Ovis aries: one gene and its partners. The protein of the gene in region 3 purifies or fractionates together with the protein of the main gene of each other region. This does not show direct contact. Links are inferred from orthologs where the notes say so. Each region holds a gene or a part of one and is shown on either strand. Other genes may lie near its edges. The genes, in order: WDR20, USP12 and VSX1.

Region 1 (3,648 bases), on a different chromosome or scaffold from region 3:
GAGTAAACCAATAGATAAAAGGATATACAAAGGAACACAGCCTACTTGTCATGACTTCAACCACCTAACAGCCACAGCAGAAAGTGTCTCTCTCCTAGTGGGCTTTTCCGCAGGCCAAGTCCAGCTTATAGACCCAATCAAAAAAGAAACTAGCAAACTATTTAATGAGGAAGTAAGTAGCACCCTGTCTTAGCTGTTAAGAACCCCTATAAGAATGTATACGTTCTTACCGAGGGTATGGGCCTTATAATTTTACTCTTTGAGTGAAGCCCATTTTCCATCCTCAGCTGTCCTACCTAGTATGACCCAAGTTTAAATGTGGTGCGTTAACTTGGTGACTTTTACCTGTTCTTTATTGGGCTAACTGTTATTTTGTGCATTTTTGTGTCTATAGCAGGTGTTTTAAGAAAAATTGTTTTTATAATGGAGATAAGGCTTGATCTTTATAATTTAAATAAGAAGATAAAGAATTCTAAACTGTGTTCACATCGCCAGAAAATTTCAAGCAGATCAAAGAACTTGCTAATATTTCCTTAGTTTTCGCAAACGGTAGATAAAGTGTTAATGTGTGTGTTTGACAGGCATACATCTAAGAATTTGCTCTCTTGCTCTTGAAAGCGTTTGCTCTAAAATCACCTCTGATGTGGTTAGAAGTCCTGGCCCTTGAAACTGGCTGGCATGGCACAAGCTCCTGCCTGTGTTGTGCTGTGTCCTGGGATTCCTGGTGTCTCCAGTCTCATTCTTGATGGAGCCCAAGAGATCTGAGCTGTTTGTTCAGAAACATGTCAGAACCTTTAAATCTGGGCAGATGGAAGTTGCCGGACGGATTACATCTTTAAAAGCTTTTGGAGTGGCTTTTTAGTCTGAAGTCTTGCCGTTACATATTTGATGCACTTCCTCTGCTGTTTCAGTGTGACTTTCCTAGTAAATGGAGCGGACGAGGTCGGCTTGCTGAGTTAGAGGCCCTGGCTGCAGTCTCCTTGTAACCTCAGCCCTGGGGTGATGAGGTCAGGTCACCTGAGCCCCTGTCGGGAAGGGCAGGAGGTTTTGCATTGTTGCATGGTCTAAAAGTTATTAACTTGAAACAGAAGTAAGTTACAGATTCTGGCTTTTAAGAAAATAATTTTGTTTGGGAAAGAATACTCCACTTGACAAATTGCAGTTAAAATTCTGATTCTTTTGCAGTCCCTATGGTATATGCTGTCCATGTATATCCAGTATCCATCCACAGTGCTCCTGTTGGACTTTGCCAATGGATTTGGTGAAATCTTTTGAACCATGCTATCTCCTCTTCTAGTTTCATCTGGGTTGACTGGAACAAAACTTGCCATCTGGATTGACAAACTAGAGAGGAAAAGTATTTAATCCCATTTTCTGTTTAAAAAAAAAAATCTTAAGCAGAAAATTATTCTGTTTCCCTAAACATTTTATTAACAGCATCTGAGGGAGTGATTTCTAAGTGGCTGGATGATTCGGGGGGAGGTTGGTGGTGGGGAGAGTGGGGGTACAAAACTACCCTTGCCTGCACTCTCAGTAGAAACGCGAACTTGGCATCCTGCAGGGTCTTTATTTAGGTGGGGACGTGCTTTCGGCGGGGAGGGACTGGAGCCATGTAAAGGGTGGTTGGTAAACAAGGTCGGGAGGCCGCCCGGCTGTGGATGGCACAGCATGCCTCTTGGAGAACAAGAAGGATTTGTGTGCCGTCGCTGGAGGGGGGTGGCGTGCAGCAGAGGCCCCAGGGCCCCGAGAGCACTCGATCGCCTCAGCTCGCCCCATTCCTCACTCAGGATAGCCAGGAGCCACAGGCTGCAGCTCCCCACCCTCAGGGAGTGAAGCGGAGTTACCTCCTACTCTTGTACATTTTATTTGGAAAGTGGCTGTTCAAAGGGAGAGAGGATTGTGTGTGGTTTAATGCCAACTTGGCATTTACAGCTCGAGGCTGAAATTGATTGCCCTTCACAGTGAGGGTGTTCTTTGTCGTACGGATAGCATTCTCATCAGATTTTGGTCAGGATGTCTTAGAGACAGGGTCATTGGAGGTTTGTTTCTCAGAGGGTGCCAGGGATGGTGGTCGAAGCAGTTGTTGGGCCGTGCTTTGCATTCATGTGAGACTTGGAGGTTTCCGAGTATTTTACCTGCTTTCTCTGCACGAGAGGGCGGGCTGTTGTCTCCACTGTGCAGACAAGGAATTAGAGAGAGGGCAAGTGAGTCGTCCAGACCCGGCAGCAATTTGATGATATGCTTAGATCCAGAAATTAATTCCACACATCCTTACTGGCCATAGATAGGAAGCCCCATCATAGCTGGTTGCCATATGGGCCTTGTCACCTCTGGAGCTCACTCTTCTGTGAGATGGACAGGGAGGATGTGGAGTGTGTGTTACGAACAAAGTAGCAAGAGAGGTGAGTATTAATTGCACTCTTCAGGATGTACCAGATACCATAAAATAAAAACAAAAATTCAGCGAGGGAAGTTTGAGAAAGCTTGCAGAAGGTGACATTTGACCTGGGTTTGAAAGATGCAGAGGAGTTGGAGGAGGATGAGAAGGGCCTTCGAAGCTGGAGAAAACACCTTAGCATGTGGAGGAACATGAGGCCAACAAAGGAGTCCAGACCTCAGTGCGTGGGCCTTGGAGTGGCTGGAGGTGAAGCTGGACAGGTGAACTGGAACCAGATTGCAAAAGCCTTTCGTGACATGCTGAGAAATTTGGATCTGACACTGGAGGCTGTGGGGCAACCTTTGGGGTTTTACTTTATGAAGGAAGTGATAGGATCAAGTGTGTTTTTTTCGAACTCTTGTCAGCACTTGGGGAAGGCGGATTGGAATGAAGATAGCAAGATGAGTGAGGAGGCTCTAGTGACTGTCCAGGAGAGAGCTGAGGACTTGACCTGGGGTTGGGACCATTTCCTCATTCATTCTGCAGACCTTGGTGGCTGACCGTGTGCAGAGAACACCTGCCCTGTGTTTCCCCTCCAGAGGGGGGAGAAGTGTGAACAATGCCACACACACTCACATACACACACTCACACGGCACGTGGTGGTGACTTGTGATGTCAGAGGAGACAGTGGGCCTGAGGGAGAGAGACAGACACAGCGCCTGATGGACAGGGACGTGGGGCATGTCTCGGAGGAGGTGGTATGCTTTGAGCCTCGCCTCGCGTGAGAAGGCCCCCCCAGGTACGAAGCTGGAGCTGGAGTGTCCCTGCAGGAGGGAGAGCAGGGGCAGCCCCTGTGGGAATGCACCCGGGGCCAGGAGCCCTGGGAGAGGGGTGTCGGGTGAGGGCCTGGCCACGGTTGCTGCCTGGCCTCCGTGCAGGGAATCTCGCACAGGGGAGCCAGAGGTGGTCTGCGTGGTGTTTTTGAAAATTACTCTGGCTCCATCTTGGAGACGGAGTTGGAGAGATAGATGAGCAGATGCTGGGTTTCTGGCTCACTAGGCGCACTGGGTGAGAGGGGAAGGAGCAGGTGCTGGAGCAGAGCGAAAGGTCAGAGTTCCTTTTCCCGCTTGTCAAGCTTGCGAGGCCGGGGTAGTTGGGTCTGTGGATCTGGAGGTTCAGACTAGAGGTGAATTCTGGGAGTGGTCAGCATGTAGATAGTAATCGCGTCCCTGAGAGGAGATGGCAGGTCTGTGGAGAAAGCACAGTAGGA
Region 2 (3,276 bases), on a different chromosome or scaffold from region 3:
TCTTCAGAGAAGCAAACGTTATTTGCCTTCCTGACACTGGATTCTAGTATCTGTTAAGTCTCTTTACATCAGGAAGGCGACTGCAAGTGTTGGGCCCAAAAAGCATTTCTGGTTTACGCTCGAAAAGACTACCCAGTGTTCTCTCTCTGTGTGTCCAACCCAGGCGCGCGCGTGTGCGGCGTGTTCAGCATCACCTCCTGCCATCGTCAGTATAACCTCGCACAGACTCCCGTTCTCTCTGCTGCACCCCCAAGGAGCTCAATCACTACTGGTGCAATGAAGGAAGAGAAAATGCATGTCGGTTACTGGAAGGCTGTTTCCACAAGAGGAGCTGGTATCTCTGATTCCACTGCCTTGTGCAGAGCTGCACAGACAGCATGATACCTGAGCGAATCAATCAACTACCAGGATAGGAAGAGCGTGTTAACCCACAGCCTTTGCTTTATTGTGTGCAAAGTGCGCTGCTGCCCCCCTGAGCTCCCCGCAGTTCTCTTTTCTTGGAAAAAATCGGTGCTTGATCTTTTCCCAAATAACCAGAGAAGAAATGAGGCAGAAAGTCTCTCTTCATCGCAGCTCCCTCAGTCCCGGGACTGATAGAAAAGGATGTAGCCAGACTCAGAGTTCTTCGAGATATCTGATGTTAACCCGTAGAATTCTTCAATAGCTTGTGCATCTATTTTCTGTGAGGGAAAAAAACAAACGTCAGTAGAAAAATGAGCTCTTCGGACTCCTGGAATCCAGTAAAAGCTTCAGCCTTTCTTAGGATAATGTCTTTCATTTTCTCATTTGTAAAACAGCTCTGCACAATCAGAATGGCTTGGATGATGCCCAGTATTGGTGAGAATGTGGAACAAACGAAACCCTCATTCACAGCTGGGACTGCAAAACCGCACCAGACGCAGACAAAATACTTTCATCATCTTCTAAGCCTGAACATACCCTGTGACCCAGCAATTCTATTCCTAGGTACAGGATGAACTATAAGAAACAACTGATTGTCAACCATCTGGGATCTATGGACTTGGCAATTTCATAAGGTCCAACCTAATATATACTCAAGAAAAAAAAAAACGAGTGCATATGATCAGAGAAAGACTTGTACGAGGGTAACCAAGGCAGTTTTACTTTAATAATCATTAATGGACAAAAAGCCAAGTTTCTCACATGGTATATTTGTACAATGAAAAATTAGATAGAAAAAAAAGAACCACTACTGCAAGTAACAAGAATGAACTGCATAAACGCGAATGAGTGAAAAAAGACACCAAAGAAGTCATACTGGATGAGTCCACTTGTATTCAAACAGAGACAAAATTAACCCCAGTAAGGCAATAAGATTAGAAACAGTGGGTTCCAGGGGATGGCGGATGGGAGGGGAAAGCCGTAGGTACTGAAGGGGAAAAGGAATGACAGAGCTTGCTGGCGTGTTGAAACACACTATTTCTTGATCTAGACGGCAGTTATGTGTGTGCACTCGTGTGTGTGTTCACATGTAACAATTTAAACTGTTGCTTAAAATCTGCACACTTAACTGTGTCTTATAGCTCAGTAAGTTATTTTCTTAACGGTATAAGTTCTTTTTCTTTTCTTAACTAGCTCTGTGGTTGAAAGATCTCACTTGTTTTTATTCTAGACATTTTCAAGGATAGCCGACTGTTCCAGCAGCACTGAACTGGGCATTAGGGAGAGAAGTAGGGATTCGATTACAACCTGAAGACTTGTCCTACACAATGAGAAGCTGGAAGGAAAAGGTCACGAGCAAGATGCACACACAACTTTAAAGGAAAACAAGAAATCAGGAAACTACTTACTTCTACAATGTCGTCATCAAACAACAACCAAAAATCATGACTCTTAACTATTGCAATGTAATGGCCTCGATTGGGACCACTAAAACAGAGAGAAGCAAAAGTTAGCTTTATACAGTTTATTAGTATTACTCTTCTATGTTCTAAATTCCTTGTTCTGAAAGGAGAAAAACTGAAACAGATAAAAATGTTCCTTACCTATTCTTTCCCCCCAAGAGATCAAGCTACGTTGATCTGAACTGTCATTTGATTTTAAAATAATCTGTACTCTGAGAGATATAACCAGTATTCTATCTATATAAAGCTATACTATTAAAATTCTTTGTTGCCTTTCAAAATTATTATTTTTGAAGTAATGTTCAAATTTGATTCTGCAAGAGACTTAAATAAAATTTCTAGCATTTTTGTGGGGCAGGAGAGGCCAGAACACACTGAATTATAACTGTCGAACAATGTACATAGAATTATTTCTGAATCTTAACCCTTGGCAATAGTTTTTCTTGAGGAAAAATTCCACATGATGCTTGAAAAAGATACTGAAATCTTGGATCTGCAATCAAGCTCCAACTTCATAAACTTCTCTAAACAAATAACTTATTTTTAGTATTATTAGTGCTAGTTTTAAGTATTTAATTCTTAGCAACATGTAATTATTATAATTGCCTCTGCATTTCATTTTAAATAAATCTGGGATACAGAAATCTAGAAAAATGTAAAAATAAAGGTGGGGTTTATTTTTTTGGGGGGCCATGCTGCTTGGCTTGTGGGATCTTCATTCCCCAACCAGAGACTGAATTCATGTTCCCTGCAGTGGAAGCATAGAGTCCCAACCACTGGATCACCAGCAAATTCCCTAAAAGAAATTCTTTTTAAAGAACATATCAAATATTTTTTTTACCTGCTCCCAGTTACTTAAGTATGACTCACTAGAAAAGCCTATATCATTTTTAATTAAATTACAATTCTACCACAATTATTATATTATAGGCCTTGAAAAAATTTTCAACACAAATTATCCTTTATGGCTCTGAATACTGTTTTAAAAGCAGCAACCTCAGATGTGAGAATAAGCTGCCTCCCAGTTTCTTCAGATCTTTGATCCCGTAGTTAAAATGAGTATCTTGTTGACAGAAAGATATGACGAGAGTACTTTTTCCCTGCAGAAGAAAACATCTTAAACTTAAAAAAAAAACCTTAATGCTAACATGAACCTCCAGTCTGATCATTACAGTAGGGTTCTGTAAGTTATCTGATACTGTTTTCCTCTGTTCAGATGTCTTTACTTACTTTAGAAACAGAATGCTCCAAAAATGGAAAAGCGAGATTACTGCTGAGGATAAATGACAGGAAATGGGCTGACGCAGACCATGGAGGTTAAGGACCGTGACAGACGTGGACCCCCCCCCTCCCAGCTATCTTGACCATGTTCTGAGCAGGAAGGTGGGAGGGAGGGACAGCTAACGTTCTC
Region 3 (4,267 bases):
CTCAAAACGAGCCGTCCACAGCCCCGAGCGACTCAAAAGACAATTATCCTAAAGGAAAGTTATGGCTTTGCTAATCTCAGGAACAGCTTGCGAGGGGGAGATTTGGGTCTTCTTTTAATAATGAAAAGTTAATGCGCAGCCTCTTGTAATTATCTTTATCGGAAGCCCCTCGCTTAATCCTGGGGTTTGCAGAAGACCCAGTTGGGGGCGCAGACTTTGCCGGATTCAGCTCCAGCTCGGGATCCTTCTCGGCTCCGGCTAGTCCCGGCTCCGGCTCGGCTCGGCTCGAGCTCGGGCTCGGCTCGGGCTACACCGCGGGGTGCGCGCAGAGACCCACCAGGCGCCCACGCTGCGCTGGGAGAGCTGCCTCACCCCTCACTGAGCGCCTACTCGCCGCTTGCCCTCTGAAGGGCTGTACTGAGAGGTTCGGCTTCCCGGATCCCGGGTTTGAGAAGGATGGACTCCGAGCGATTCGGGTTTGGTAGGCTCGGATTTTCCGAGTGGGAACCAGGAGAGGTTTACCCACGTGCTGCGTTTCGAGACAACTTAATACGGGCGCCTTACGTGAAAATCAGGCTTTCTTCGAAAAATTATAAAATCTGACATTAATTTGCTAGCTTCTGTGTGGGGTGGGTCCCAGTAGACACGCCCTATTTTCCAACTTACCTTCCCCATTTAGGGCTCGCCAGATAATATACTGGTACACACTTATAATTTTAAAACTCACTGTTCATCTGAAATTTCGATTTCACTGGACCTCCTGTAATGCAATTTGCTAAACGTGGCTTCCTTGCCCTGGCCGGGTTAGTCCGCTCAGGCCTGTCTCTACTTCTTCTCCAGCTCCCGTGAATTTTGCGACCTGGGACAGTCCGGCCGCTAGAGCGCTGGGGTGGGTTTGGCTGGAGGTGGAGTAGGCACGGATTAAATAAATGTTTTCCACTCCTTTCCCCTTGGGGATTTTCAGGGAAGGCCTTGGCTCAGGCGGTGGCATTGGAGGGCTGGCGGGGTTCATATTGGTGGTGATGGGGAGAGTGCGGCTGGGAACGGGGTCTTGGTCTTAATGGACGACTGGATGCGGGGAAGGCGGGTCTGTGCCGGGCCTCCACCGGGGAATCCACCCGGAAGGGGAGAGAAGACTCCGAAGGAATCTGGAACTTTCGGCGTTTAGAGGTTTAGGGAGGGGACGACTCGCGCCGAGAACCGGCGTGGGGTTGGTAGCGGGGACGACTGGAGAGGAGAGAGGAGAGGGTGCTGATGGAGGGGACCGCAGCTGGGAGGGCGGCGACCAAAGGGAGGGGGGCAGGTGGCGTCCCCATGTCGCGGGGTCCCGGGCGTGACGCGTCCGCGCCGCGCTGATTGGAGCCCTCCGGGAGCCCGACTGTATAAAGCGCTCTCAGAGCTGCGCCCCCTCCGCGAAAGTGACGGACCAGAGGGCCCAGCTTCGCCGCTGGAGAAGCCATGACCGGCAGAGACGCGCTTTCCGACGGGCGTGCCAGAAGCAGGGCGCTGGTGCCCGGAGGCCCGTCCACCGGCTCGCGCCCCCGGGGCTTCGCCATCACCGACCTGCTGGGCCTGGAGGCCGAGCTGCCCGCACCTGCGGGCCCCGGCCCGGGATCCGGGTGCGAAGGCCCGGCAGCCGCGCCCCGCGTGGGCCCAGGGCTCGGAGGCTCCTGCCCAGCACGCGGAGCCCTTCCGTTGGGCCTCGGTCTCCTCTGCGGTTTCGGCGCGCAGCCCCCTGCGGCTGCCCGGGCACCCTGCCTGCTCCTCGCCGACGTGCCCTTCCTGCCGCCCGAGGGGCCTGAGCCCCCCGCTCCGCGCTTCCCCGGCCGCCCACTGCCCTCGGCCGCCCGCCAGAAACGCAGCGAGAGCGTGTCGACGTCGGGTAAGGATGCCAGTCCGCGACCCTACTGTCTCTTCCCTCGGCTCGGGTGGGCAGAGTGACACTCTGGCGCCCCGTCGGGCCCCACCCCAGTCCCCCAGATCTATAGAAGTGGGGACCCTAGAGCGTAGCGGCGCCGGGAGGCGCATTCTCGCACCAGCACCCTCTGCGCCCCTGCCCCCGCCCCCGTCCCGGCCTCTCCTCTGGGCTTGGTCGCCGCCACCCCGCGGACACCACCACCCGATCAGGACCCGCCCTGGGGTCTCGGCGACCCAGCCTCCGGGGGACACTTTCCGCCACGCGGGGCTCGGCCTCTGGGTGCCGCAGGGGTCGGGAAACCTGGGTGGGCCTACCTTGTTTATCAGCGGCACGGAACCCGGTACCCGCCGGCTCCAAGAGGGATTAGACAAACCGATTGACGGATTGACAGGCCCTTGAGCGCCGGGCGGAGGCCTGGATCTGTCCTCCTCCGGGTGCTGAAGAGCGAGTCTGGGCACCCCGCTTCTCCCCTACTCCCCTCACTGGAGAAGCGGGCTCTCCCTCTTACAGCAGCTGTGCCCAGATCCTCAGAGAAGTCGGCACGGACTGTAGAGTAAAGCAGGGAGCGGTGGAAATCGACAAAGACAGGGCGGAGAAGTCGAAAGGTTTGGGGCATGGGGGAAGAGAACGGAGAATTTCAGAAGAGTTCGAGGGAGAACAGCTATGTGATAGTAGACCGCAGAGCTGAGCATCCAGGCGGCTGAATGCAGAAACTGCGCTGGTCTCCACTACTGATTAAAGGAAGCAGGCGCGGTCGGCAGACACTCACTCTGAGAGGACTTTATTTCATGAGTGTCTACTAGGTGCCAAGTTGCTTCGGTCCTGTCCGGCTTTTTGAGACCTGATGGACGGTAGCCCGCCAGGCTTCTCTGTCCATGGGATTCTCCAGGCAGGAATATTGGAGTGAATTGCCATGCCCTCCTCAGGGGATCTTCCCGACCCAGGCATGGAACCTGCATCTCTTGTGTCTCCTGCATTGGCGGGGGGTTTCATTACCACCAGTATCTAGCAAATAACCACCCCCTCCATTAGTTGTCTCACTAAAAATGCAGGAACCGATTTCATACTGTGGATTTTTTTTCCCTGTGAGGACCCACAAAGCTAAGGGAAAATACAACCACATCCTAGCCTGTGAGGGTATTTCTCAAGACCAAGACCAATAGTGTCTTGTGGAATCGTCATGTGACTGGGAGTGTAATGAAAGTTTCTTAGAGCCACAATAAAAAGGAAAATAAATAGGTGAAACAGATTTAAATACTATGTCTCATTTAATCCAATACCTACAAAATATTGTCATTGTATGTGTTATCAATATAAGAGTTATTAATATTTTACTCTGAGGGGGTCTATTGTTTTCAGTCTATTGGATATTTCATGCTCACAGCTGGTCTCAATTTAGACTGGCCACATTTCAGGGCTCCATAACCTTATGTATCTAATGGTATCAGATTGGACAGCACAGATAGTATAATATCATAATCCAATCTTCTGGTGAACTCACTGATGTAGGAGTAAAACTGATATTATTTTACTACTTTTGCTTTTATTAATTTACATTTAGTATTTTGAAACATATATGCTTTTTAACAACAAAGCTGACCATAGTTCGGTCTTCTAAACTTTCTTTCAGCTTAAATCTTTCAATATAATGGATTTCAAAAGATAAAGCATAGTGGAGTGGGTTCTTAAAATTTTTGATGTGCATCTGTGAATCATCTGGGTACCCGGGCCAAGAATGAGTTTCCCAGGTCCCACTTTCAGAGATTTGAAATTGGTACAGCAGGGCTGTCACAAACCTCAGTCTTCCCGTTGAGAAGTGGTGGCATAATGGCTAAGATGAAGAACGTGAGATGGAAGCAGAAGGAAGTGTATGGATTTGGAAGCTGAAGGGAACAGGAAATGCAATTAGTGTTCAAGTAGCTTAGGCTTCACACACATTTGGGGTTTGAATTCCAACTTCACTGTTGACAACCTTTGTGATCTTGGGACAAGTTAATCTCTCTGTGCCTTGGTTTCCTCTGTAAAAGGAGGATAATAATAGCAGCTGTCATGGAGGTTTTTTTTTTTTAAATTTATGAAGAATAATGTTGATATGCATGGGCAATCAGTTAAGTGCAGCACTTGGAATATGTCATCAGATGTGAAAACTGTGATCTTGTCTTGTTAAATATTCACATCCCAGACAAGTTCATAGCTTCAGTCCTCAAATTAAAATCCAGAGGGCAAAATGAAAAATGTGCTCACCTCTAAAGTCCTCTTCTTCTCCTTGTGCTAACAGATGAGGACAGCCCTTCTGAAGACAGGAGTGACCGGAAGGCGTCGCCGGCCCCCAGCAAGAGGAAGAAGAGG

What was found.
Region 1: the proteins of VSX1 (region 3) and WDR20 purify together in Homo sapiens (affinity purification with mass spectrometry; 3 studies listed by BioGRID and IntAct, with this or other methods). This does not show direct contact. The link is inferred for Ovis aries from reciprocal best matches to the Homo sapiens genes VSX1 and WDR20.
Region 2: the proteins of VSX1 (region 3) and USP12 purify together in Homo sapiens (affinity purification with mass spectrometry; 3 studies listed by BioGRID and IntAct, counting the BioPlex papers as one, with this or other methods). This does not show direct contact. The link is inferred for Ovis aries from reciprocal best matches to the Homo sapiens genes VSX1 and USP12.

Annotation. Positions count from the first base shown.
Region 1 is NC_056071.1:64,661,456-64,665,103, forward strand, and holds part of WDR20 (WD repeat-containing protein 20), read left to right. Parts: coding exon 1-176; intron 177-1,185; exon of another isoform or gene 1,186-1,357; intron 1,358-2,770; coding exon 2,771-2,874; intron 2,875-3,648. UniProt on the Homo sapiens protein: Regulator of deubiquitinating complexes. Activates deubiquitinating activity of complexes containing USP12. Anchors at the base of the ubiquitin-contacting loop of USP12 and remotely modulates the catalytic center of the enzyme.
Region 2 is NC_056063.1:32,991,032-32,994,307, reverse strand, and holds part of USP12 (ubiquitin carboxyl-terminal hydrolase 12), read right to left. Parts: intron 1,891-3,276; coding exon 1,704-1,890; 3' UTR 681-1,703; coding exon of another isoform or gene 579-680; 3' UTR 1-578. UniProt on the Homo sapiens protein: Deubiquitinating enzyme that plays various roles in the regulation of the immune response and inflammation.
Region 3 is NC_056066.1:42,253,902-42,258,168, reverse strand, and holds the start of VSX1 (visual system homeobox 1), read left to right. Parts: upstream 1-1,458; coding exon 1,459-1,882; intron 1,883-4,196; coding exon 4,197-4,267. UniProt on the Homo sapiens protein: Binds to the 37-bp core of the locus control region (LCR) of the red/green visual pigment gene cluster. May regulate the activity of the LCR and the cone opsin genes at earlier stages of development. Dispensable in early retinal development.